Linked DNA regions of Saccharomyces cerevisiae S288C. The gene in region 2 interacts genetically with the main gene of each other region. Each region holds a gene or a part of one and is shown on either strand. Other genes may lie near its edges. The genes, in order: PUS1, PUS4, TAN1 and ZRC1.

Evidence for each region.
Region 1: mutations in PUS4 (region 2) and PUS1 together harm fitness more than expected from each alone (negative genetic interaction), as found in Saccharomyces cerevisiae (2 studies listed by BioGRID).
Region 3: mutations in PUS4 (region 2) and TAN1 together harm fitness more than expected from each alone (negative genetic interaction), as found in Saccharomyces cerevisiae (3 studies listed by BioGRID).
Region 4: mutations in PUS4 (region 2) and ZRC1 together harm fitness more than expected from each alone (negative genetic interaction), as found in Saccharomyces cerevisiae (2 studies listed by BioGRID).

Annotation. Positions count from the first base shown.
Region 1 is NC_001148.4:150,397-154,690, reverse strand, and holds PUS1 (pseudouridine synthase PUS1), read left to right. Parts: upstream 1-1,541; coding exon 1,542-3,176; downstream 3,177-4,294. Other genes in the region: signal recognition particle subunit SRP72, read left to right, coding at 1-401; ribosome biosynthesis protein NIP7, read right to left, coding at 651-1,196; U2 snRNP complex subunit LEA1, read right to left, coding at 3,361-4,077. UniProt on the Saccharomyces cerevisiae protein: Formation of pseudouridine at positions 27 and 28 in the anticodon stem and loop of transfer RNAs; at positions 34 and 36 of intron-containing precursor tRNA(Ile) and at position 35 in the intron-containing tRNA(Tyr).
Region 2 is NC_001146.8:81,213-89,018, forward strand, and holds PUS4 (pseudouridine synthase PUS4), read left to right. Parts: upstream 1-1,593; coding exon 1,594-2,805; downstream 2,806-7,806. Other genes in the region: Rab GTPase-activating protein MSB3, read left to right, coding at 1-1,329; MID1 (Mid1p), read right to left, coding at 2,957-4,603; RFC3 (replication factor C subunit 3), read left to right, coding at 5,006-6,028; PCL1 (Pcl1p), read left to right, coding at 6,685-7,524. UniProt on the Saccharomyces cerevisiae protein: Responsible for synthesis of pseudouridine from uracil-55 in the psi GC loop of transfer RNAs. Also catalyzes pseudouridylation of mRNAs with the consensus sequence 5'-GGUUCRA-3'.
Region 3 is NC_001139.9:60,298-68,003, reverse strand, and holds TAN1 (putative tRNA acetyltransferase), read right to left. Parts: upstream 5,930-7,706; coding exon 5,873-5,929; intron 5,815-5,872; coding exon 5,002-5,814; downstream 1-5,001. Other genes in the region: SHE10 (She10p), read right to left, coding at 1-406; SAP4 (Sap4p), read left to right, coding at 1,045-3,501; YGL230C (uncharacterized protein), read left to right, coding at 3,789-4,232; chaperone EMC4, read left to right, coding at 4,384-4,956; Rab GTPase-binding exocyst subunit SEC15, read right to left, coding at 6,150-7,706. UniProt on the Saccharomyces cerevisiae protein: Probable tRNA acetyltransferase required for the formation of the modified nucleoside N(4)-acetylcytidine in serine and leucine tRNAs. Binds RNA.
Region 4 is NC_001145.3:752,026-759,975, reverse strand, and holds ZRC1 (Zn(2+) transporter ZRC1), read left to right. Parts: upstream 1-3,809; coding exon 3,810-5,138; downstream 5,139-7,950. Other genes in the region: long-chain fatty acid-CoA ligase FAA4, read right to left, coding at 1-169; COA6 (Coa6p), read left to right, coding at 1,145-1,459; YMR244W (uncharacterized protein), read right to left, coding at 1,659-2,726; YMR242W-A (uncharacterized protein), read right to left, coding at 5,590-5,679; 60S ribosomal protein eL20 RPL20A, read left to right, coding at 5,756-5,756, 6,234-6,751; YHM2 (Yhm2p), read right to left, coding at 7,071-7,950. UniProt on the Saccharomyces cerevisiae protein: Vacuolar transporter that regulates zinc homeostasis by mediating zinc transport and storage into the vacuole.

The DNA.
Region 1 (4,294 bases), on a different chromosome or scaffold from region 2:
CTTTGGATATAGCACAAGGTATAGATCTAGTGAGAGATATTGATATTGATAAATTAATTCAACTTGGTGTGAAACCCTTAGAATCGTCAGCAAAGAGAAGTAAAAACACCGCAGTTAGCAAAGTTCAAAAGAGAAAAGTTTTAGAGCTAAAGAAGAAAAGAAAGATTAAACGCCTCGAAAAATTTTTACAAGGTCGCGACACCTCCAAATTACCTGATCCTGAAAGGTGGCTGCCATTAAGAGACAGGTCTACTTATAGGCCAAAGAAAAAACAACAAGGTGCAAAACAAACTCAAGGTGGTGCTATGAACAAAAAATCAGAACAGGCCCTTGACATATCAAAGAAAGGGAAGCCCACTGTTAATAAAAAGCCTAAGAACAAGAAGAAGGGCCGTAAATAGAGCGTATAAAGATTTTTGTCATTAGTAATCCTCAAATGTTGTCAAGTTATGTAATATTGTATATGAAATGGAACTCGACTAATTCAAAAGAAAGGTCATCGAGGGGTTAGGCTCCCCATTTTATCGAACAACTCTTTCCTTTTAAGCGCTAATTATATGATTCTTTATTATACAGAAAAAAATACATTGTGAGAGATAACGCAAGCTGTAAGTGAAATGTACACGGGAATTCATCATCAGTCCTTCCCACTAAGTAAACAAGGTGTCTTCATCTCTCAAATACTCACCAATATCTGCTTGTCTGAAAGCAACTATACCAGTGGGTTGCATGTTTCTTGACTCAGAAGTACTTTTCGCACTGACACCGAACCCTAATGGCACATCATTCATTGCAAACACAATAACACCGGCGTGTTCTGGTATATCATCAGACATTTTACCCACATGTGCCTTTAACACATGATTACCGTATAAGAATGGCATCTCCCCATTAGGTTTAATCCATATCTTATATTTGGCATGCTTAGCCAATACTGTCAAAGAAGTAATATGTAACCTGAATTTTCCAGTTTTCGTGAATTTACCTAAACAAATACCCAGAGACATCAAGTTAGGTCTTGCTACACTAGTAGCCAATTTTGCAACATGATCGGGTACGTAATATACTCTATCCTTTTGTAATCTGAAGACATGAGGAAGTTCTTTATTATCCACTAAAAAAGAAATATTTCTACCAATATAGCCGGCGAGTTTTTCGAAAACAACCTTGGTCTCTTCTTCTGTTAGCTGTCTCATTATTGCACCTAACTATAGTTTCCCTCAATGGTTCTACTACTCGGAAATCTAGAATACGATCCAATCACTAAACCGTCAATTACCTCAATAATACATTGCTTACTTTAGTTCTAAGCTCATCGCATATTTCAAAAATTTTCATTACCGTACAGAGATATATTATTTTGATGCGGGTAACTATTAGCCGCTGAAATAATATTTTCTTTTTTTTTTTTTCTTTTGGCTTTGAAATTTTTCACTTTTAGTCATCGCTATAGTTCGAGAAATTTGAAATACAAGAAGTACTAAAAAAATAATAAAGGACAATAAAGTGCTAGTAAATAACAATTATAAGTGATATCAAGGATGTCTGAAGAGAATTTGAGGCCTGCCTATGACGATCAAGTTAATGAGGATGTCTACAAGAGAGGCGCTCAGAGCAAATTGACCAAAGCTCGTAAGGCAGACTTCGACGATGAAAAGGACAAAAAAAAGGATAATGACAAACACATAGATAAAAGACCAAAAAGCGGTCCTCGTTTGGATGAAAATGGCAATCCACTTCCCAAGGAGCCTCGTCTCCCAAAGAGAAAGGTGGCTGTTATGGTTGGTTACTGTGGTACTGGCTACCATGGTATGCAATATAATCCACCAAATCCAACCATCGAGTCTGCCCTATTCAAAGCATTTGTTGAAGCAGGTGCTATTTCCAAGGACAACTCCAACGATTTGAAAAAGAATGGATTCATGAGAGCTGCAAGAACTGATAAGGGTGTCCATGCTGGAGGTAATTTAATATCATTGAAAATGATTATTGAAGATCCTGATATCAAGCAGAAGATCAACGAAAAGTTACCGGAAGGGATAAGGGTATGGGATATCGAGCGTGTGAACAAGGCGTTTGATTGTAGAAAAATGTGCAGTTCACGTTGGTACGAATACTTATTACCAACTTATTCACTCATTGGCCCCAAACCTGGTTCTATACTTTATAGAGACATCGAAGAAAGTAAAACAGAATTACCTGGTGTATTAGATGAAGATTTGGAATCCAAAGAATTTTGGGAAGAGTTTAAAAAAGATGCGAATGAAAAATTTTCAACAGAAGAAATCGAAGCTATATTAGCATATGTTCCGCCCGCAAGAGATGAATTTGATATAAATGAAGAACTATACCAGAAGGTAAAAAAGTACAAGCAATTAGAAAATGCTCACCGTAGAAGATATCGTATATCCGCGGCAAAACTGGCCAAATTCCGTGCTTCTACAAGTCAATACCTTGGCGCTCATAACTTCCATAATTTTACATTAGGCAAGGACTTCAAAGAACCAAGTGCCATTCGATTTATGAAAGATATAAAAGTATCTGATCCATTTGTTATTGGCGATGCCCAAACAGAATGGATTTCCATCAAGATTCACGGCCAGTCTTTCATGCTACATCAAATTCGTAAGATGGTATCAATGGCAACCTTAATTACCCGTTGTGGTTGCCCCGTCGAACGCATTAGTCAGGCTTACGGACAGCAGAAGATTAATATTCCGAAGGCACCTGCATTAGGATTATTGTTAGAAGCTCCAGTATTTGAAGGTTATAATAAAAGACTAGAACAGTTTGGTTACAAGGCGATCGATTTTTCCAAATATCAAGACGAAGTGGATAAGTTCAAAATGAAGCATATCTACGATAAGATCTACAAGGAAGAGGTGGACGAAAATGTTTTTAATGCGTTCTTTAGTTATATTGATAGTTTCAACAAGGTTACTGGAGCACAGGGAGAAGAAACTGCCGATAAATCGGGACCTGCTGTGCAAAAGAGTATCTTCGAATTCTTGACAGCTAAGGGTATCCCAGGTCTTACTGATGCGCCCGAGAGCAATAAGAAGATTAAGCAAAGAAAAAGAATGGAAGAGGAGGAAGCTGCTAGTAAAAAGGCTGAAATATCCAGCACCACTCAGAGCAACGAACCTGAAGTACAACCGGAAGCGGCAGCTAATTAGGTTGCCCTTTCCTTCTTTCTTACCAACTTTAATTTCTAAGGCATTGACATTGAAATTGACATTGTCCTCTAATGTTTATAGAGCACCATTATTTGTTTTCGTTTTATATATTATTATATAATGGCACAGAATAATTTATAATTCTTTTTTTTTAAGTCATTGAACAGTCGCACTAACCAAAAGATTAAACACCACCAGAGAGTAGTTTTTCCAGCCTGGCAATCTCTTCTAAAGAAGTAGCTTCTGCTAACTGCTTTTTCAATTCATTTCTTCTCTCTACTGTCATCTTACTCACCACCAAATTCATGATCTCCATCGTTTTATCTCTGGATCCATTATCTCTTATTGCAGTATTTACTGGGCCCAACGTATCGCCGTCCGCCTGCCTTGGAAAGCTCATTGCGCTCTTTCTTTCCTCAGCTGTTACGTTTTGAAAGTCTAAAGTCTCTAAATGCGGTACTAATCGAAGTACATGTTCTCTATAATTGGCTAAATGACATACTTGATTCCCTATTAAAGTTAGATTCTTCAACGTCCTGGGCGCTCTACGCAACCTTTGAAGATCTTCAAACCTTCTTATGCTGTTATTCGATAATGTAAGGTTCTGTACATTCATAGGCAATAGGCGACCGTCTACTTCAACGATATTGTTTCGGCCCAACAGTAATGTATGTATATCGTCTCTTCTTGATAGATCTGGAATCATGATAAGGTCATTGTTTGTCAAATCCAAGATGTGCGTAGGTTTGGTCAAATGCTTTAAGCTGGATGGCATGGATTCTGAATCCGTTTCTAGCTGCAGGTCTCTTAAAATAACACATTTATCCACGTTATACTTGCCATTAAAATGATCAACATAATATTGCGGAGCATCAATAACTATGCTAGGGGTGAACTTCATTATTGCTTATAAAAACTGATATTTTCCAAGTCCTGTAGTTTCACTTCGACCTGTTGAAGGCTTGTTGGATGCAGAGTATGCGATTGGCCTAATATAAGTAAATGTCATCTATGATAAGAAAAAGACTAATAGGGCTTTTTCCTATAATTAACTAGGGTCTGTCGAAAATCAACTTTGAAAACCAGGAACAAAAAAAAGATAGATAAGGTTTATTTCA
Region 2 (7,806 bases):
TTGCTGTTGGAGAAAAGTGGGTTGCCAGTGACCGATGATTCTCCTTCACGATTTCCATCAAAGAGTGAACGGTTAAAAAGGTATGTCAGAAAGGGCATTCCAGCGGAATGGAGAGGAAATGCATGGTGGCATTTCGCTAGAGGGCAAGAGAAGTTAAACAAGAATAAAGGCGTCTATTCACAACTTTTACGAAAGATGAAGCAGATCAAGAAACAAAACCCTAATGAAAAACAAGTTCAAGACTTGGATATTATTGAACGTGACTTGAATAGAACATTTCCGGACAATATACATTTCCAAAGTAGCTTGCATAACAAAGAGGGACCTCCGATTATAAAATCTTTACGCCGGGTGCTTGTTGCGTTCTCTCTCTACAATCCGAAGATTGGCTATTGTCAATCTATGAACTTTCTTGCAGGCTTGCTATTGTTATTTTTAGACGAGGAAAGGGCCTTTTGGATGCTAGTGATTATTACTTCAAGATACCTACCGGGGGTGCATAATATCAATCTAGAAGGTGTTAACATCGACCAAGGGGTACTGATGCTATGTGTCAAAGAATATATTCCAGAAGTTTGGTCGTACATTAAGCCTTCCATTGACCACCACCAAAAAAATAACAAAACTTTTTCTCCGTCAAATAAAAAAGTTTTATTCAATATGCAAAAGAATGAGTTCTTGTACAGACTTCCGCCCATTACTTTGTGCACGGCGAGCTGGTTCATGAGTTGCTTTGTCGGTGTAGTGCCGATAGAGACCACGCTTAGAATATGGGATTGTCTGTTTTACGAGGAATCACATTTTCTATTCAAAGTTTCGTTGGCTGTCTTAAAATTGAGCGAGCATGACCTTTCGAAAATAAAACCTCGTAACAATTCGTTGAATTATTCTTGGGGCTCTAACTTAAACCAGAGAGGCGGATCAATGGGCCAAGAAGATAGCGATATGGAAATTTTTCAGGTCATACAGACATTCCCTAAGACATTATTGAACCCAAATGAGATCTTTGAGAAAATCATTTTCAAAAGGAGATTTAATTTAAATAGGTTAGATCAGGATGAAATAGACAGGTGTCGAAAATTTGTTGCCGCTCAGCGTCTCAAATTTAAGACATATGGTGAACTTCTTGGAAATTCAACATCAGAGGCAGATTTGCCAATTAATGATAATACAGATAATAAAGGTATCCACATAACAAGTGATGCAGTCAATGAAGCATTATCTTCAGAGGTATATGGGTTTAAAAAGAGCCTAGCTGGAGTTCATTGGAATAATAGCATCAAGGAGAAAGTGAAGCAGATGAGGAAGAAAAAAGACAAGGGTGACTAACTTTTGCTTCCTGTTTTTGTTTTTGCATAAACAAATATGTGATAATTAACTAGCATATAAAACATATACATATACACAGACTTATTTTTTTTTGAGCATCTATATTTCAGAGAATTTTGTTTGGCGTTTTTTCTCTGGTATTGATCTGGCAATTTTCCATGATATCTTCTAACAGCGAGGTGAAAAATTTGTTAAAGATGAGCTAAGCTTGTAAATTGTGTAAGTTAGGGCATCACATAAAAAGAAAACTCAATCAAGGGGAACATGAATGGAATATTTGCTATTGAGAAGCCTAGCGGTATTACATCCAATCAGTTTATGCTAAAGTTGCAACATGCTTTAACTAAAAGTCAAGTATTCTCGAAGGAAATTCAAAGGGCAACAGCGGAAAGAAAGCAGCAATATGAAAAACAGACAGGTAAGAAGGCCAGCAAGAGGAAACTTCGTAAAGTCTCAAAGGTAAAGATGGGACACGGAGGCACTTTGGATCCGTTGGCCTCTGGTGTCCTGGTAATTGGGATTGGAGCGGGCACCAAAAAACTTGCAAATTATCTTTCAGGCACCGTTAAAGTCTATGAAAGTGAAGCCCTGTTTGGTGTTTCCACTACTTCAGGAGATGTAGAAGGTGAGATTTTGTCCCAGAACTCCGTTAAACATTTAAATTTCGATGATTTAAAGACTGTGGAGGAAAAATTTGTTGGACAATTAAAGCAGACGCCGCCAATATACGCAGCTTTGAAGATGGATGGCAAACCCCTGCATGAATATGCTCGAGAAGGAAAGCCTTTACCTAGAGCCATTGAGCCCAGACAAGTTACTATTTATGACTTGAAGGTGTTTTCAGACTCTCTTAAACGTGATCATGACTATCCCTTATTGAGGCCCACTACAGAAGAAGCTGTTGATACCGTGAAAAATTTGAATGCAAACATGCTAAACGATGTTTTATACTTTTCAAAAGAATATACAGAGAAGCACGGCCTTGATTCTGAGGTGGCAAAGGTAGAAGAACCATTTCCGCTGAGTGAACAAGAAGAGCAAGAAATCCAAAAAGAAGGAGATTCTTATAGGGCTCCAAAATTGCACTTCAAAGCTAATGTGTCTTCTGGAACATACATAAGGTCCTTAGTGAGCGACATCGGTAAATCTATGAGGAGCTCATGTTATATGGTGAAATTGATACGTTTGCAACAGCAGGACTGGTCTCTTGAAAAAAATAATGTGTTCCAATTAACGGATTTTACTGAAAGAGACGAGAAGGTGTGGAGTAAGGTACTGGAGAAGGTTCTAGACGAGGGAGCAACTGTTGATGTTATAGAAGAGCTAAAGAAAGCAGAAAAGGAAATACCAGCGGACGTGAAGGAATGTATAGTTTCGAGTGATCAACCTGGTGATGAGGCTACGGCTGAAACAATTGAAACTGCTAACGCCGAAGAACATTCTAATACACTAAAAAGAAAAATCGAACAGGTGTAAAAAAGAGGAAGTTCGAACCATTTTTTTTTTTGGTCTTGTGAAGACTACGCTCTCATTTTATCTATTTTTTTATGTGTATATATGATTTAAAAAAAATCGATGTACTTATGCATTTAAATCGTTCAATTTTTTTGTGATAGTTCGGTCTCTTCTACGTATCGTCCAATGGATGAATTACCATCAAGGATGAGTTACCTATATAATTACAGGTTGAGTAGTCAGTGTCCATATAGAAATTGTAACTTTGATAAAGAAGATCTTCCGTAGTAAGATCATTCGGACAGGAAAATTGAAAATCGCTTGGGCAATTTCGTACTAATGTATAGCACATGTCAATACAAGGTAGAATTTCGTAATAGTCATCCAAAGGTTTAATAAATTTATTCAAATAATCATTACGGTTGTGACTTTTATCTCTGTGGATGTAGTATTGGGAAGACGTCGTGGTGCATCTCGGAATTGATACTGCACATACCCAATCACGATAAGCTTCGGCACAATCGTCACAAGTCATGACCGGAGAATATCTTGCGTCTTTGTCTGCGTCACAGGATATTAACTGTAGAGCTTTGCTAAAATTTGCATATAGTGCCTCTGCAATGTGGTCATATGTCTGCGCCATGAGAGTTTTATTACCCACAGAAAATGAGGATGTAGGAACAGAGTAAGCGACGTCACTGCAGAAGTCCAAACCAAAGATCAAAGAGCAGACATCGGTACTTCTTGTGGTAAAATAAACATGTGAAAATAAAATGCCGCCCACACTTGACAACCCATCACCATTACTGATTTTCTTTGTCAGGTACGCTACATAAGTTGTTGAGGCATTCAGTCCTGTCACGTAAAACATTTCTGTCACGCTACCACCATATTCTGTAATTTTTTTTTGAATCGCCAAGTCAGTACGCTCTAAAGGATTTGTACTATTTGACGTAACTGTTGCATTTGATGTATTTTGGGAAGACACTAAATATGGTCCATTTTTCACAGCACAAAGAGATAAATTATAGTTTTGGTTTAGTTGAACAGAATCTTCGTACGAGTAAACATACAGATCGTACAAGGATGGATCATATATTGAATAATTGTGATAAACTTTGGCGTCTGCGGTGACATTCCCCGTTGATAGTAATGCAGAATTCATATCAGTGTCCAGGACCTCTACCCAAGGCCTTACATCCCACTGAAAAACCAAATCGTTCTCAGAGATACTCAGTCTATATTCCCAATTTTCAGAGGCGTCGGAACTGGACAGAGGTTGCTCCGTAGTGGAATTCACTAGCTCAGCGACCACATAAAGATTTGAATACGTGGAGGTAGCGTTCGAGCTAGAAGACTGCACTGGACTGATGGCTAATGCTTGGATGTAGCCATCCTGAAAAACTGCACTTTGACCTATATTTGGGTTCTCTAAAACCGTTTCATTAAAAGAGTAGTATATTGTTAAATCCACATCTGATCTATTCATGGGCATTTGGCATATATTGCCGCTAATAAACATTAACACTTCATACGTGGGAGCAAACCCATAACCGGAGGCTTCTGCGTCAATGGTAAATACAAAACTGTCTTTTTTGCCCGCTGTTATGTTAGATAAGATCGGGGTCCATTCATAAATGCTATCCGAATTGATGATTGTTTGTTGACCAGTAGCCATAACGTTTTTCTCCCATCTATTTAGGCTGGGAAACTTTAAGGAAATATTCTTATTTGCGAAAGGATTGAAGTCTTGGAATAAACCGTGAATAGAAGTGGTAAATAGGCAGTAAACCACGAATAGTGCTTGCCACACTATCATCCTTAGAAATAATACTGCCGCTGGACAGAAATTGTAGTGTTACGGGTTTTACTGCAATTCAGTATGGCAGTTAAGCCAGTCAAGTATTTGAGAAATAGCCAAAACGGTACGTCAGCCGGTCGAAATTATTAGGGAAATTTTCCGCAACCAATGGCTCAGTTTCAGTAACCTGTTCTTGAGAAAACAACACGTTTACTTGTAGAGTTACTATTGCGGTCCGATGGCAGCGAAACTATATCATTATTATATTATGTATGGCTTCTCAATTTTGATCTTTTTTTTTTTTGGTCAGTACGCGATTTTGAAAGAAATGGAAAGAAGCTATAAAGAGCACAGGATAAATATCTTTTCAAAGCTTGAATAATTTTATAAAAGGTGTAGGAACAGGCCCGACATACAAGAATGTCGACAAGTACAGAGAAGAGGAGCAAAGAAAACCTTCCATGGGTTGAAAAATACAGACCCGAAACGTTGGACGAAGTGTACGGACAAAATGAGGTGATCACCACAGTTCGTAAATTTGTAGATGAAGGTAAATTGCCACATCTTCTATTCTATGGGCCTCCAGGTACCGGTAAAACTTCTACAATTGTTGCTTTGGCACGTGAGATATATGGTAAGAATTACTCGAACATGGTTTTGGAGCTGAATGCATCCGATGACAGAGGTATTGATGTGGTGAGGAATCAAATTAAAGACTTTGCCTCTACAAGACAAATCTTCTCTAAAGGGTTCAAGTTAATTATACTGGATGAAGCAGATGCCATGACCAATGCCGCACAAAATGCGTTGAGAAGAGTTATAGAACGGTACACCAAGAATACGCGGTTCTGTGTATTGGCCAATTATGCGCATAAACTTACACCTGCGTTATTGAGTAGGTGCACGAGATTCAGATTTCAGCCCTTGCCCCAAGAGGCCATTGAGCGTCGGATAGCCAACGTCTTGGTGCATGAGAAGCTGAAGTTGTCTCCTAATGCGGAGAAGGCCTTAATAGAACTTTCTAATGGGGATATGAGACGTGTGTTAAACGTTTTGCAGTCTTGCAAAGCTACTTTAGACAATCCCGACGAGGATGAGATCAGTGACGACGTTATCTATGAATGCTGTGGGGCACCCAGACCAAGTGACTTAAAGGCAGTATTGAAGTCGATACTGGAGGACGATTGGGGTACCGCCCACTACACACTTAATAAGGTACGCAGTGCCAAGGGTCTCGCGTTGATCGACCTAATCGAGGGCATAGTGAAGATACTGGAAGACTACGAACTTCAAAATGAGGAAACAAGAGTGCATTTGCTTACCAAACTGGCCGATATAGAGTACTCGATATCCAAGGGTGGCAACGACCAGATTCAGGGCAGCGCGGTCATTGGCGCCATCAAGGCCAGCTTCGAGAACGAAACTGTTAAAGCCAACGTATAATCGACGCAAATATGTATAGATACAATATGTACAGAACAACTGCATTGTGCAATATAACAACATAACACAACGCCCAGAACGAAATAAAAAAAATAAAAGAAATAGATGAAAGCATTTTCAATTTGCATACCGGAAACCGTAAATCAATTGGCGTCTAGCTAACAACTGAGAATGCGAATCGCCAAATTGTTACAGAAAGTAGCATTCCGTTACGTGATCTGTACTTTAACCTCTTGGACGTAAAGAATGGCAGAACTCTGGCTCTAGTGTTCTGCGAATGCCAGATCGGGAAATATTTCCCAAAAGGGCAACAGCGGCACGAACAAGAATTTCGTGTTAAAAATCGCGTCCGGCGCGAAATTTTTCGCGGAGGCATGCGACGCAAAAGCGACTCGAAATGTCGGGAGCCAAATGAGGCTACAAGGCTGTGGGCAGATTTTGGCGTTATTATGGAGAATAAAAGGAATGGTAGCTTCCATATAGCGATAGGAAAACATATATAAGGTCAATAGGCCTACATGGTAATGGGATTGATAAGCTTGTCCTTAACTCTTGTGTCTTGGAATTACTATTGCGTACATCAGCAATCATCCATTGTCAAGAACAAAAACGATAACAAAAACAATCAATTATACAAATAACAGTAAAGTAATAAAATGTGTGAATACAGCAAGGCTCTTCATATTCTGCTCAAGTCGCCAGTAACGGATGACATAATAAAATTCTTAACAGACACAACATTGAGGGTTGTTCCTTCAAGCAACTACCCCACGCCTCCCGGTTCTCCAGGAGAGAAACACCTCACAAGGCTGCCATCGCTAATGACTTTTATCACTAGATTGGTCAGATACACCAACGTCTACACACCCACTCTGCTCACCGCTGCGTGCTATTTGAACAAATTAAAGCGTATTCTGCCCAGGGACGCTACTGGTCTCCCCTCGACCATCCATCGCATTTTCTTGGCCTGTTTGATACTGAGTGCTAAGTTTCACAATGACTCTTCTCCTTTAAACAAGCACTGGGCTAGGTACACCGATGGTCTCTTTACACTAGAGGATATCAACCTTATGGAAAGGCAGTTGTTACAGCTGTTGAACTGGGACCTCAGGGTGAACACAGAAGATTTGATCCTAGATCTGCAGCCTCTATTAGAGCCCATCAAGCAAGACTTGGCAAGATCCAGCGACCAAAGGAAGAGAATTAACATGATGATGTCCATGAACAGAAGGACTTGTGCTGGCACGAGTCCTATCAGATCAAACAACAGATTCAAACTCTACGAAAAACAGAGAAACGTGTCGATAGCATCCGATTTAAGTTCTGCTACTCTAGTCGACAGTTGTAATGATCTAAGAAGGCTAAAAGATGTAACCAACATAGCGAACAACACAGTCGCTAACACGAATTACGTCAGGACGGTAGAGAAATGGAACGACAATGTCAACAGGCAAAGTTGGGATCTGGAACAGATCATGAGTCAACATGGGTTTTAATGTGGTAAACAAGATGGCCCTTACGGGGCTCTTAGTGGGAGAAAGATTTTTAATAGAGCATAATTAACGGATACATAATATATTATAAATTTAAATAATCAAGGATACCTAATAATAATAACAATCAACTGAACACAACATTAAAAATGGTATTTGTTATTGTATGTTAAGCCCTAAGTGATTGTGCCGTTATAACTTCCATTCGGGTGATACCTGCAATATGAGGAAGAAAAAAGATAAATTTTTTCTTCTTAAAGTATAAAAGGCGGACATATTTGATTT
Region 3 (7,706 bases), on a different chromosome or scaffold from region 2:
GTTTCACAAAAGCATTGTATTTTGCGAAGAAAAATCGTCTAGTCTTGACCATTGGGGAGCGGACCAATTGGTAATACTTTCCACAGTTCCATTTCTTACATTGTGAATGGATGACCTTGAATGCAGGCTGTATAGCGACCTTGTTCACTTTTACTGTAGCGTCATCGATGACAGGTTTGACAGCCGTGTCATATTTACGCGCCACTATATCGAAACCGGGACTAACTTTATTTTTGTATAATTCACAATTTCTTGAAAAGTAGGTGTTCCAGACTCTTGGATTGGTATAATGGCAAAGCGTTTGCGTGCGTTCACACGATATGCTCCCACTATTGAATTCGCAACAGTACTGAAGCAACGATACCAACACCGTCAGAGTTGTGATTAACTTTATCAGCTTTCCCATTTCGTTACGCTGCGTTCTTGTTTAGATGTAACAGCTTTTGTGCATCCAAGATATAAAGTACTTCAGAAATGGTGGTTGAAACAGAATGCCCATTACGCTTACTTTAAGGCTGTTCTTCAAGTTGATCCTTTCTTTGATACATGATTATCATCATGTACGTAGAAATCCGCCTTATTTCCGAAACCTGACTATCTTAGGGTTATACATAGAAACGTATAGGACATTTCTTACTTTTGAAAATTGTTCCTTGGGCAGTTCAGGGTTTAGTTAGGGTATTGATGCCAGCCCTAAATCCCCTAAATAAGAACTCTCGAGGATAATAACAGACAATAAACCAAGAGTTCATCCACGTATGATGGCTGTTTTTTATTCTGTCGGTTTTTGGTTGCCGTAGTAAATATAATTTGGTAAGCGTGTTGTGCTGTGTTGTGTTGTGTTGTGTTGTGTTGTGTTCTACTAATTGGATTGTGCGAATAAGTGAAACGGTTGCTTCACCCAGCGGGAAAAGGACAACCTGGTATTTGGTGTGAGATAAAGTTATAGACAATCTGGTCTTTTGTTATTAAGTTCTCTTTTCTTCTATACCGTCCAGTTTACTGCTCTCTTGCTTTTCGATAAAGCTAAAATAAAATAAAAATATGTCACTATGGCCCTTTGGAGAGACGCTGAGTCATTCCGGAATTGATTCGATACTTGAAGAGTACTATCTAATTTTTCGTAGTTTGGAGGGAAATGAGACCTCTTCAACTGACGACAAGAAGAATGAGCCTTCTATGGAGTCAGAGTCCGAATTTGGTACCGAGTCTCGGGATAGGAGTGACCTTAACCAGTCATTTATTGATAGGATCTTGTTGGAAACAGCTTTGCTGGATGAACTGAATGGAGCAGCCAACGACAGACTCGTCGACTTCATTTGCTTGGGATATTTCTATGACGACCGTTCCCAGCAGGTCCGCCACATGGACTACCTAGTGGACATGTTGATGGCTTACCTGAAGGACATAGACCGCACTGGTTATAGAACCCCATTTCTTTTAGAGAATTCATTCCATCAAACAGGTGAATATGAAGATCAGGACGATGAAGACCCAATGCTGTATGTCAACATTATTTCCAGTATTTTTTGTTCGAAAAGTGCGCCCATAGTGGAGGCACTCGTGCAAAATACCCCATTTTTGTCCTCTCTGTTCGAGGTTTTCCAGTTTGAAAATATTGAGGCAGAAAATTGTCCTATCTTGGCTGTTTTCCTTAAGATTAACGAAACTCTTCTGTTTGAACAGACATCTAGCTATTTGGAATTTTTCAAATCGCAACCGAACATTGTGGACAAGTTCTTATATCATATTGAAGTCTCACCCTTGGTTGAATTTCTCATTAAAATCATGCTGACTGATCAAGTTGAATCACCTACGAACATTATTGACTTCTTGTATCACCAGGATCTGATACCTAAGTGTTTGAATCTCTTGGAAAATAGCAAATACTCACCTGGTATTCAAAACAGTAGCGGAGAGCTTCTAAAAGCACTGATCAGCATTTCCACCAATTTTAAACTGGATACTTTGTGGATCGGACCTAACCGATTGACAAGACAGCTTGCCTCTCCGCAATATGTCGACCAACTTATTAATATAATCTTATTTCAAAGAGGCCATGCAATGGGAGTTGCCGTATCTATTATAATTGAGTTGATCAGGAAGAATAATTCCGACTATGACGAAGTAGATTTGTTAAGTACCACCATAGTAGACAATCCGCCTTCTCAAAGAGATCCAGTCTATTTGGGCCATTTGTTATATGAGCTCACTATGCATATGGAAGATTTTTATGCATTACTAATTAAACTTGAAAATGATGATGACGATGATCATGACACTGCTTCAAAAGCTCTTCCATCTGTTAAGCATCACCTACTAGAAAACCAATTGCATGAATCATTCAGGCCTTTGGGCTTTGAAAGAGTCAAGATTACAGAATTGATATCGGAAATGTTACACTGTTCAAATATGGGATTGATGAATTCAAAAAGAGGCGAAAAAATAGCACGTACCAGAGATAAATGCAGGGACACTCTTGATCAAAACTCACTAGAGAAAGCCATGAAAAATTTAAATATAAATGATAATACTATTACTTCCAATACATTAGAAGATAAATGTAATAATAATGATAGTAATGACAGTAATGACAACCAAAAACAAAAAAAAAATATTAAAAAAAAGTTTCATGATAATGAATTGTATTCTACTTTTGATACATCTGATGACAATATTGATGATGATGATGATATGAGTTTTGAAATTCCTTACGTCAGTGAAACGCAAAATTTGAAAATACGTAAAAACCCTACCATTGGAGATTTATTCAAAATTAAACTTCATGACCTTGGGTTTTTTCCAAAGTTTCTACAATTATTCTTAAGATATCCTTGGAATAACTTTTGGCACAACATTGTATTTGATATTATTCAGCAGATATTCAATGGTCGAATGGATTTTTCTTATAACTCATTTTTGGTCTATTCTTTGTTTGATTTCAAAAAGTCTACAAGATTTATCCCAAAACCTTTGTACGGCAGCAACCAAAAGTTACCTGTTAAAGACTTCCATATTATCTCTGATTTCATTTTACAAGGCCACAAGGATTCGTTTGAATTTTACGAAAAAGAGAAAACAAATTTAGGTTATATGGGTCAATTAGTATTAATTGCCGAAGAAATTGCGAAGTATTCCAAAATTTATAAGACCGATCTAATTGCTCCAGATATATATGCCTTCTTACAAGATGAAGTTTGGATGTCATATTCTAGTGACATCTTGAACGAAACAAGGACAATGTGTTCAATAATTCTTGGTGGAGGCCAGTTCTGTGCCGAAAGCGATGAAAATACTAACCAGGACTTTTTGGAAAAAGCTGATATGAGTAAACCAGCTCATCCATCCACAATGGATGAGAATGAAATTGTTCACGAGGAGGATGTTAAGTTGCATGATAAAGTTGCCGAGCTCATAGATGAATTGGGTCAATTAACCGAATTAGATATTCATGATAAAATTAAAGATGTTATTGTTGATCATCATTCCGACTTAAATTGATTAGGTTAAGTCGTCAAACCAATTTTGACTTTTTTTTTCCTACATTTTTAATATTTTGTTTCTCGTTTTGCCTTATTTAATTTTGTGACATGTAAAAATTACGAAGCCTATTGGGGGCCAATTGAAGTAAACTAAATATAACAATAGTCCTTTGTAGTTCAGGAATGTTCACCAACTATTCACCAAAAATTATTGTCTAGCTTACTTTCAATAACTTATAGCTATCTATACAAAAATAATCATATAACTAAAGTCAGGCCCAAACCAGGCAAAACAAAACCATAATAATGGGAATTATTACACTATCCGGCAATGTTCTACATTTATTGAAAGCCTACCCAAAAAAGGGCCTTGAAGAGGTTTCTCAACCAGAGCCTAATACAGCAAATGATTCCTCGACTGAATATAAAGGAAAAAGCAAGGATGATTTTCAAATGGTCGAAAAATCCAATACAGATGAGAGATACAATTTTACAAGAACGAAAAAATGGTTTTTATTGATGACCTCAGAATATTACAAACTAATGGAAAACAGACTTTTAATGTTTTGCATTATCGCTTGCTCTTTTATTTGTGCTATCCAATTTCTTTTCTTTATAATTTATTGGACCAACATTGTTCCACGGAAGACGCAAAGGGCAATAACTAACCTAAATTACGATTATTTAACAGCCCATCTAAAAGAGCAATGCGTTCCATATGCGAAAATTCTTGACCAATGTATTCTCTAGCAATCTCTGCTTTTGTACATTCGTAGTTTTTTCATGTTCCTTTCATAAATAATAAAAAAAGCGTATTCTTTTCTATATAAATAGAATGAAAAAAAGTTGAACATAATATCAGTTAAGGTTAAAATAAAGCCAAACGATATAAGCAACAGAAATGAGTGAACAGGAGCCTTACGAATGGGCTAAACACCTATTGGACACCAAGTATATCGAAAAATACAACATTCAGAACTCAAACACATTACCTTCACCACCAGGATTTGAAGGTAATTCCTCTAAAGGAAATGTTACAAGAAAACAACAAGATGCTACATCTCAAACTACTTCTTTGGCACAAAAAAACCAAATAACAGTATTACAAGTACAGAAGGCATGGCAAATTGCGTTACAACCAGCCAAATCTATTCCGATGAATATTTTTATGTCGTATATGTCCGGTACATCCTTACAAATCATTCCTATAATGACTGCCCTCATGCTACTCTCTGGACCCATTAAAGCAATATTTTCAACAAGGAGTGCATTCAAACCAGTGTTGGGTAATAAAGCAACACAAAGTCAAGTGCAAACTGCTATGTTCATGTATATCGTATTCCAAGGCGTCTTAATGTACATTGGATACAGGAAACTAAATTCAATGGGTCTCATTCCTAACGCTAAGGGTGATTGGCTACCCTGGGAACGAATTGCTCATTATAATAATGGATTACAATGGTTTTCCGATTGAGAGCGTATATACTTATATAAAATATCTATTCTGTTTCATATATGATTATTGTTTTACACTCTTATCTTCATCCTTTCGGAATTTCGATTCATAAAGCTGTTGAACGTTGTATTTACGATATTTGGTTTTATAATCCCCATCGACTACACACATTCCGATATTGCTCTTAAAACATTCCACTAGAATCAATTTATCATAGTTCTTCAAGTCCACAGTATGATTAAACTCAGAACCCTCTTTATTGACCAGCTTCACAACTTGATTAATGATGTCCATTCTTTCAATCGTATTGAAATTTCTTCTTGTCACTTCTACAGCAAATTTATAATTTTTTTTAACATTCGAAGGGTCATGAAAGTGTGGCCCAATAACCAAATTGGCCAACTTGATTAATTGCTCCATTTTTGCATTACAAGAGTACGTAATAGGTGTTAATTTCTGAACATATCTAGTACGTTTAACCATATTTTTGGGATCCGCTAAGTCTTTCATGATACTTAGCACAAATTCTTCGGGAACAATTGGCTTTCTTGTTTTACAAAATGTCACGCACTCACAGTTCAAGTCGATGAAGGCTAAGGGGTCTTTCTTCTTTGTCTCCCCTGAAGATAAATCTTTGCCTGTTTCTTCACCTTTCAATTCTTGTAATTCCTTTTTTATCTGGTCTTCAATTGATAGATCTTTCTTTTCGTCATTTTCACTTTCATCTTCTCCTTCTTTGATATCCCCATAGAGTTCTTGAAATTTTTCTTCGAATAAAAGCTGCAACTCTTGGGCTGCTTGACGTTCATGTCTTCTAGAACATGTGGCATATATTCCAGACGTACCAGGGTCTAAGAATCCGGAAGATACTTTAAACTATTACTTTTGATCGTTAGTACTTAAAGAACTCTAATTCGTGTGCAGACAGACATACTTTCTTCCTGTTTTGGGAATTTGCATCCTTACCATTACGGTTACGTTTTTCACCCATAATTAAGATACTTATTTACACTAATTGTATGATACTTTTCAATATATAGTAGACTTTTGAGATGTATTTGGTTGACGTGAAAAATAAAGAGTTATTCAATGATAAAAAAAAAATTTATTTGAAGTGAACTTTTTCGATGCTAAAACCAAAAAACTCAAGACTGTCCGAAATTCTTTCTTATGAACGTACAAATGATTATACTGAGATAATATCTAATTTTTTAACGTCTATTAAAAAATTTGGCTATCCTACTCGTATTAGAGTCAATGACACTCGCTGATTCAGAGTTGAATATGCTGCTACTATCCATTACGCTAGTGTCATCGCCGTTAGCTCCTTCTACAGATGAGACGAAGTGCTGAATCTTGCTCAACAAAAGAGCCGCATCTTCCTGTCTAATTCTTGAATATTTTCTTAATCTTATTTCTGGTTCATTATAATCTTTTCCCTGAGTCTTTAATAACTCTATACACTGCTTCAACTCCATAAATGTAGCTTCTAGCGATTTGATATTATTTTCAAATAATGTTGGTGCGTCAACACCGTTGGCATTTGGAAATGTAGGCGTCGAAGGGGTCATTGGCGACTGGTATCCATTACTATCTATAGTACCTGGTGTAGAGGGGAAAATTCTGGGAATAATGCTCTCTAAATAATTGACATCAACTTCAAAATTCATTATGCTTTCATGTGTAATTGTACTTGGTGTGTCATGCAATAATAGACCCATGAATTGTCTCGTCAAGGAGTCAAATTCACGGAAAATCAATAATGTTTGGACGCTGTATGGTAAATTTTGTAGCGTGCTGGCAAACATCATTTCTAAAAATTGTGCCAGATCAATGATGGAGATATCCGGGTCTTGCCTTACCTCCGTTATTTGCCAGTCAATTTCAATAGTTTCAAGAATATCTGATATCTTAGAATCGATTAATTCAATTAACTTTGTTTCTGCCAATTTTCTGCTTTCCGCAAGATATTTTATCGAGGATAACCGTATTTCCATATCCGGGTTTTGTAAAATATTCTCTCTTGTCATGAAGTTACTAAATTCTTTTGCTGCTATGATAAAATAATCTAAATTGACTAAGATTTGTGCAATTTCTTCTCTCGACGTACTTTCAAGTTTAGAACGAATTTTTTTATTGACGATATCATTAAATATATCGTCCATTGTTTTGACCAAAATATTATTCAAAGTGTGTAGCTCATGACGATAAAATATGGAAAGAAATGCGGTTATTTTAGAATATGTTTTCTTAGCAAGTGTACACGTCATTGGGTATAATGGAGAAAAAGGCAAAGTCACAGCAAATGGCTCTCCGTTGGTTGGATCTGGCAGGGAAAGGTGTTCGCCCTCCTTCATCCAGCAAATCTTCAAAACTTTCTCATATAATGTCTTGTCATTAATGGATAAAGGCATAAAATCATCATCGTTTAACAAGATTTGAAATTCATCGTCAAAAGCTCTCAAGGAAACAGAGCAGAATTTCTCGAAAATTGAAACCAAAATTTTATATAAAGGTTCGATGTTCAGTTTGAAATTTTCTAAAATGGCAACATAAATACAAAGAAAATCTTTCAATTTAATCATGTCTTCTTCTGTTTTCAGCTTCTCATCTATGAAATAACTCAAATATGGTGACAACCTGTCCATGAGTCCATCCCAAAATTCATTTGTAGAATTATAGTTATTATCAACGAGGATAAATTCTGTAGCTTTATTCAAATTAATATCATATAATAAGAAGCCGAGAATTTTCAAAAAGTAATCCTG
Region 4 (7,950 bases), on a different chromosome or scaffold from region 2:
CTCTCTTACCACCCTTGGTAAAACATTCCAGGGCGAATTCGTACAGTGTAGATGCTGAGGAGTTTATGGGTCTAATCAAAGGCTGGTCTTTAACCCTGATATTTCTTCTTGGAGCGGTTTCATGCTCATTGGCGGCTTCGCCAACTGCAACGGAATATTGTTCGGTCATTTTGATGCGTACTTCTTAGTTTTTCAAGAAATAGTGAAGAACAGAGAAAAAAATGATGTGTTACTAATGCTGGTTCTTTTGTATTCTCGCTTTTATGTCAACTCAGAGGGGTTGCAAACAAAAGAAAGAATGATCAGTTATTGTCTATCTGTTGAGCCTTATCTGAAAGAGGTAGAACAAAAGATGGGCTGTTTTTGTTGGGGTAAAGCGGCGCCGCGAATGTTCTTAATGAGGTGAAAAGAATGCAGAAGAGAAAGATGAGGGCTAAGAGTAGAAAGAACGAGATGAACGAAGGCCGAGAAACACCCAGAATAGAAAAATAGATCGCCGACAATCGAGGGTTCTTAATTGATGGGGACATCGTTGGAGCTTATATAAGTTTGCCGCTACTTGGCGAAGATGGTTGAGCTGGGCGGTTCGGTTTGCGCTTTTGTCTTTCTTGTTACTAAGTATGATTGTTTTTTGTTGGGAAACGGCAAAGACGCGCAGCCAAAAAGCCGAACAGTTTAGTGAGTCTCTTCTTTAAGCGCCCAACACGCTCCATCGTGTTGGATAAAGCGTATGCAACAATTATTTCGGCATCGAACCCGCGGAATAAGCATCGGCTCGGGAGATATTTTTGTTTAGTTGGTATTGTTATCGTGTATAAATTTCTGTCCCTGTGCATTGTGATGTAAATGGCCTATTGTATTGTCAGGTCCCTGTCCGTTCCTTGATGGTATATTGGCACCTGAGCAAATCCAACAAAACCGGGCTCGCCCGCGCGGAAGAAAGTGCGATTGACGATTGTAGCTGAGCTGAACAAAAGAGACGGACATGTGAAACGGTGCTGCGGTGGTAGGTGCTGCTTTGTAGAATGGGGGAGAAGATTCGCCTACATACATACATACATACATACATAGACGGGTACTATTGTAGCGCTGCGCAGGAACATAGATACACGAATATACAGAAAGGAATAGTAGTAATATAGCGATGGGCTTATTTTCATTTGATGGTGGCAAAAAGGAATCACAACCCCCTAATACCCGTTCACAGAGAAAGTTGTGCTGGGAGTCCAGGGACGCATTCTTCCAGTGTTTGGACAAGGCAGACATCTTGGACGCAATGGACCCCAAGAATAGCAAGAGTATAAAGTCGCACTGCAAGGTGGAAAATGAAAAATTTGAGGAGAATTGCGCCCATAGCTGGATCAAGTACTTCAAGGAGAAGAGGGTCATCGACTTTAAGAGAGAGCAGACCATCAAGAGAATCGAGCAGGAAGCTAAACAGAGGGAACGAAATCAGTGAGTTTTTAGTGAGTTATTGGCTCATATTAACATATATATTCCCATAAAACATTTGACAGAAAGGTAATAATTAAAGGATAGTCATGTAGATACAAACGAAAATTTTATGTTTTTTTCTTCGTTTTGCGAAAATTCGCATGAGTGTCTCTGTATATATATATAACAAAAAGATGAAAAAAGGGAAGGTAGAAAAAACCGCGCTAAGTTTTGGCAGTGACGGTGACTGTCTTGTACTTGGTCTCGGTGACCGTTGTGGTAATAACGTCTAGCGGATTCAGTTCTCTCTTGCCTTTAGAAGATGAGCCGCTACCAACATCAAAAACTTCGATGTTGGCCTTGGCGCCGTTTCTGGCGGTGACAACACAAAAGTTTCCACCACCAGCCCCGGAAGAACCACCGCCAGAACTTGTCACTTCGTTGACTCCATTAGAACTTGGGTCAATGGAGCATGGTAGGCCTTCACATTGTGATTCGTCATCACAAGTAATTCTAATACCGAATGAAGGCTTAACGTTCTTGAACGGACATGACGATTCCAGGTAGACGGGGTTCCATCCAATCTTTACAAAAGTGTTCTGGTTGTCGTCCATGTTGGAACCAGCTACAAATGGGGCCCAGTTCCCCTGTGGATTTGCACTACTACCCCACTGGCATGCATCCTCTACGCTTACACCGGGAGCATTTACGTAGTAATGCGACGCGCTGGAGGCCCAGTAGTCTGTACCAGGCACAGCCAGCGTTTGCTTTGACCCAGAGCCGACTAAGGTTGGGATCAGCATAGCTTCGTTGCCCGGAAGCACGGTCTGGCAAAATGCAACGTCACCGCTGTTAGCGTTGTTTTTCGCTATTACGGTTCCCTTCCCATCATAACAATAGTCTTTATCACTGTTTGGCTTTTGCAAGTTACCGTTAGAATCACAGTACAAACCTCCATTTTGACATTTAGGATAAGAGTATGTGGTAGCCGAAGGGTCCCATTGCCCCATTAGTTGACCTGGTTTGCAAGCGTAAGGGCACCATGAACCGTAGGAACATTCTTGGTCAGGGCTCATAGCCCATCCTCCATTAGATCCACCTTTTTGTACTGCGACCATCCCATCGTAGTTAGGGAACGCACACGTTCCTCCACGCTTGGCATGCTCATGATGATCTTGATTTGTATTTTCCGTCATTTGAATACTGGGCGATGGCGCGGCGGTCGCCGTGAACACGCCGACACTCAAAATTGACAGTAAGAAATATGGTGTCAGTAATTTGCAAAGTACCATTTTCTCTCGATATTCGATTGGGACGTTCAGTAATATATATGTTTAGTAGAAGAGTCCTATCTTTATCTCACCTGTTTGAGGGAAAGGAAATGATATGAAAGTAGTTGCATTTTTATAGGTGAAAAAAAGAGAACTAGCTAAAAAGAAATTAAATATCGTTCTCTTATTCACCGATACATCGCCCATGAAATCGACTGAGTAGCTAAGTAAGATGATGTAGAAAAAGAAAAAGAAAAAGAAAAAGAATAAGAAAAAGAATAAGAAAAAGAATAAGAAAAAGAATAAGAAATAAGAAATAAGAAGAAATCAAAAAAAAGAAACAATAATGCTTTGCGGACCCGCTGCTACTAAAGCACTTCCACTTGAAAAAAGAAACTACCGCCGTGGCACTGGTAGGTTTACAGATTCAAAAAAAAAAAAAAAAACTGAGATCTTTACTACATAAAAAGAAAGTTATCTCGGTTTGCAGATCGGTGCAGGTCCCATGAGATAAACTTTTGCGTTGAGTTCTGGACTCTTGATGTATCTCCGGACTACAGTATTCATTCTGCTAAGGGGAAGGCGTCTGGCTAAGTTCAGCCAGACTTCCTTTCTACAACCCTTTTTACTAGCTGAGCCTACTTCCCAGGAAGCAAAAAAAATTCTTGCTACTTTCTCTTCATGACGCAGCGTAGTGAGTGCATTTGTCTTTCCCTACCTACGCCGAAAATATATATGTCATATAACGGAAGTCATAAACGGTGACTCCTTTTTGTTTTTGCTGGTCAACCTTAAAGAAACAAAAACTCTAATATGATTTCTTGGCATAGACCCACACACCCTCGGAAAACCTCATTTTTCAAAAGAAAAAAAATGCCGTTTTTGTTTGCGAAAAATAACGTCCCTCCCTCTGTTTTCCTTCTTCAGATGGCCTTGAAGGTGAGGAATGAGGTGGTTGCTGCATCAGCTAAAACTTTTCATTGCAAAGTCATCAGAGCTCAAAGTTTCATAAAAGAATATAACATTCAAGATACTTTAAAGGGCTTGGCGCAGTAATTTTTCCCTATCGATATCCGTCAGGAATACCAGGAAACTAATAGAGTCATGATCACCGGTAAAGAATTGAGAATCATCTCTCTTTTGACCTTAGACACGGTTTTTTTCCTATTGGAAATTACCATAGGTTATATGTCACATTCATTGGCCTTGATTGCCGATTCATTTCACATGTTGAATGATATCATCTCTCTTTTAGTGGCACTATGGGCTGTGGATGTGGCCAAAAACAGGGGTCCAGACGCTAAATACACTTATGGATGGAAAAGAGCAGAAATTTTGGGTGCTTTAATCAATGCTGTTTTTCTTATTGCCCTGTGTTTCTCTATTATGATTGAAGCTTTACAAAGATTGATTGAACCTCAAGAAATTCAAAACCCAAGGTTGGTTTTATACGTTGGTGTAGCAGGGTTAATTTCTAATGTCGTAGGTTTATTTTTGTTCCACGATCATGGCAGCGATAGTCTGCACTCACACTCTCATGGCTCTGTGGAAAGCGGGAATAACGATTTGGACATAGAATCTAATGCGACTCATTCCCACTCTCATGCATCTCTTCCAAACGATAATTTGGCCATCGATGAAGATGCTATTTCGAGTCCTGGGCCCTCAGGGCAAATTGGTGAAGTGTTGCCACAATCAGTAGTAAACAGATTATCAAACGAAAGCCAACCCTTATTGAACCACGATGATCATGACCACAGCCATGAATCGAAGAAACCAGGTCATCGCTCTTTGAATATGCATGGTGTCTTCTTACATGTACTAGGTGATGCTCTGGGTAATATTGGTGTTATTGCAGCTGCTTTGTTTATTTGGAAAACTGAATATTCTTGGAGATATTACTCGGATCCAATCGTTTCTTTAATCATCACCATTATTATTTTCTCTTCCGCTCTGCCCTTATCACGTAGAGCTTCAAGAATTTTACTACAGGCTACTCCTTCTACAATTTCTGCTGATCAGATTCAAAGAGAGATTTTGGCAGTACCTGGCGTGATAGCGGTCCATGACTTCCACGTCTGGAACTTAACTGAATCAATATATATTGCATCTATCCACGTTCAAATAGACTGTGCACCTGATAAATTCATGAGCTCCGCCAAGCTGATAAGAAAAATATTCCATCAACACGGTATTCATTCTGCAACTGTTCAACCAGAATTTGTTTCTGGAGATGTTAATGAGGATATTCGCAGAAGATTTTCTATCATAGCAGGTGGTTCACCATCTTCGTCTCAAGAAGCCTTTGACAGCCATGGAAACACTGAGCATGGTAGAAAAAAGCGTTCACCTACTGCCTATGGTGCTACTACAGCATCATCTAATTGTATTGTAGATGACGCTGTAAACTGCAATACTTCCAATTGCCTGTAATAAAGATATAAAGGGCTGAAGCCGTCGGTGAATTTATCCCATGGTTCTACAGAGAACATAAACTATATACTATTTACATAATTAATTCTTAGACGTATAGGAAGAAGGCAGTTCTTCCTAACTCAAGAACTGCGTTATTCAATGTATGAATACGCTATCTTTTAGCTATAAATCTCCATTAAAAATTTGTATGCAATATGTGCCACAATCCTTCCTCATCTTTTTTTTGAGACTTTTAACCCAAACATAAAATACCCCCATACATCCAGAATAGCGTTTTTATGTCTCAAATAGTTAACTTTTTTCAGCGCGCGCAGAGCAGGAAACAAATTAAGCTCACTTCGGTGTGGTACCAGCCCAGGAATACCGCTTCTCAATAAGCGTTCCCCTCTAAACCCTGCTGCAATTTACTAAGTGCATTGAGGCAGAATCCAGCGCACATTTGATGCTCTTAGCCCAACTCTAAGCCGGGCGCCTGCTTGTTCCCTCCTGTACCAAAATCTGACCGTGGCAAGGTATCGCCAAATTTCATTTTAAACATTGAGGTTGAAGAATTTGGACAATCATAAGCATCTATATAGTTCCTCAAGTCTTTTAAGGAAAAACAGTGCGGAAAAAGTGAGTAAATACCTACTAAACTATGCCACAAAAATGGAAGAGTAATGCCATCTACATCGCAGAACTAGGCTCGGAGCGATCATGAAATGAATGACCACACTGCGTTTAAAACTTAAGCTACTATCACCACTAAAATAGTTCAACTAGGATTACACTCTAAATATGTCAAGGAAAACAGCGAGTTTGTTACGACCGAAAAGAAATGAACGACGTTAATTGTACCATGCTGAATAATATGATCCCATCCATCCTAGAAATACGATTGCAAAAGAAGTGTATAGGTTCTTTTTGGTTCAATGACGAAACACCTGAGTTAAACTTTCATGGATCTTTCAAATGTCTAAAAGGCTATTACCTGACCTTGCGAATGTGATAATAACTCCTCCATAAAAGCTTCCCTTTTCTCATGTGTCACATGGACTTCATACTAACATTCAAATTTGTGATTTTTCATGAAAATCCTTGTTATTTTATCAGTGGCTCACTTTAAAGAATACCAAGTTATTGGCCGTCGTTTGCCAACTGAATCTGTTCCAGAACCAAAGTTGTTCAGAATGAGAATCTTTGCTTCAAATGAAGTTATTGCCAAGTCTCGTTACTGGTATTTCTTGCAAAAGTTGCACAAGGTTAAGAAGGCTTCTGGTGAAATTGTTTCCATCAACCAAATCAACGAAGCTCATCCAACCAAGGTCAAGAACTTCGGTGTCTGGGTTAGATACGACTCCAGATCTGGTACTCACAATATGTACAAGGAAATCAGAGACGTCTCCAGAGTTGCTGCCGTCGAAACCTTATACCAAGACATGGCTGCCAGACACAGAGCTAGATTTAGATCTATTCACATCTTGAAGGTTGCTGAAATTGAAAAGACTGCTGACGTCAAGAGACAATACGTTAAGCAATTTTTGACCAAGGACTTGAAATTCCCATTGCCTCACAGAGTCCAAAAATCCACCAAGACTTTCTCCTACAAGAGACCTTCCACTTTCTACTGAACTGTGCATATTTGAATTTTAAGATATAAAATATTTTTCTGATACTTTAATAGTTTATTTTTATGTATTATCAATTCTGTAGAATTTAATAATTTCAACATTTCATGAACGGCCAGAGGTAAATGGGTAAGGCTTCCTTTCAAAGAATCTATAGATATTAAGGTTTGCATGAAGTAAATAGCTGATAACCTTAGTACAATTAGAACAAGTTGAGACAAATAGGAAGCACCCCAGCATAAGAGCAATATCCTCAGAAAAAAAAAAAATGACTAAGCTAAATAATTAATTTTTTTAAAAAAAACTTATAGTACAATACACGCTAATGTTTGGCAACTGGGGTTTCACCAGTCATTCTGGCGACAAATTCCTTCGCCATATCACCAAAACCAACCATGAAGACAGTTTGCCAGATACCTAAACCAATTCTTGGGGTGACACCACGGTAAAGACCCTTTAGACCATTTGATTGATAGATGTATTTAAATGTCTTACCAACAGTCAAATTTTTTGGTCTGTTTGGATCTTCCTTCTTAGATTGCATTTCAACTCTAATGACTTCGATTGGTTGATTCCAAGCACTTAAACCACCACCTAAAGCACTGGCACCAATTTTCTCGAACGGATTCAACTTGTCGTCTTTATTGGTTTTCCCGGTGATCTTTCTGATACCATCTTCCACTAGTCTGGACAAACCAAAACGAGAACCCCAGTTGGTCATTTGTCTAATAGCAACAGCATTAACACCCTTATTAATACCTCTAATACCTTCCTTTTTATAAATATTCTTGAACACACTCCAAGAAGATTGTGGGACACCACCTGCGGAGGCAGATTTATGTCTTGTAATTTCCACCGTTTTCATACAGGTACAGAACCCCATGGTTAAGTAGGCTTGAGTGACACCACCCGTGACACCACCTAATATACCTGAGGCAAAGTTGTTCAACCCCAAACTTTTGAAACGATACTCAGCCTCAGCTGACACGAACAGCAACACAGCACCTTTAGTGGAGGCTTCGATCCATGCCCATGGAATCAAACCTTGGTAGTAACCCAAGATACCACCTCTTGACCAGACATGCTTAACAGATTCTAAAAATGTGAAGTTTCTGTTTGCAGCCATTGTGGTCTTAACAACCTCCAAAGGTTGCCCTAATGTAGTCACCTCTGACAAGTTTAAACAGGCACCCAATAGGATA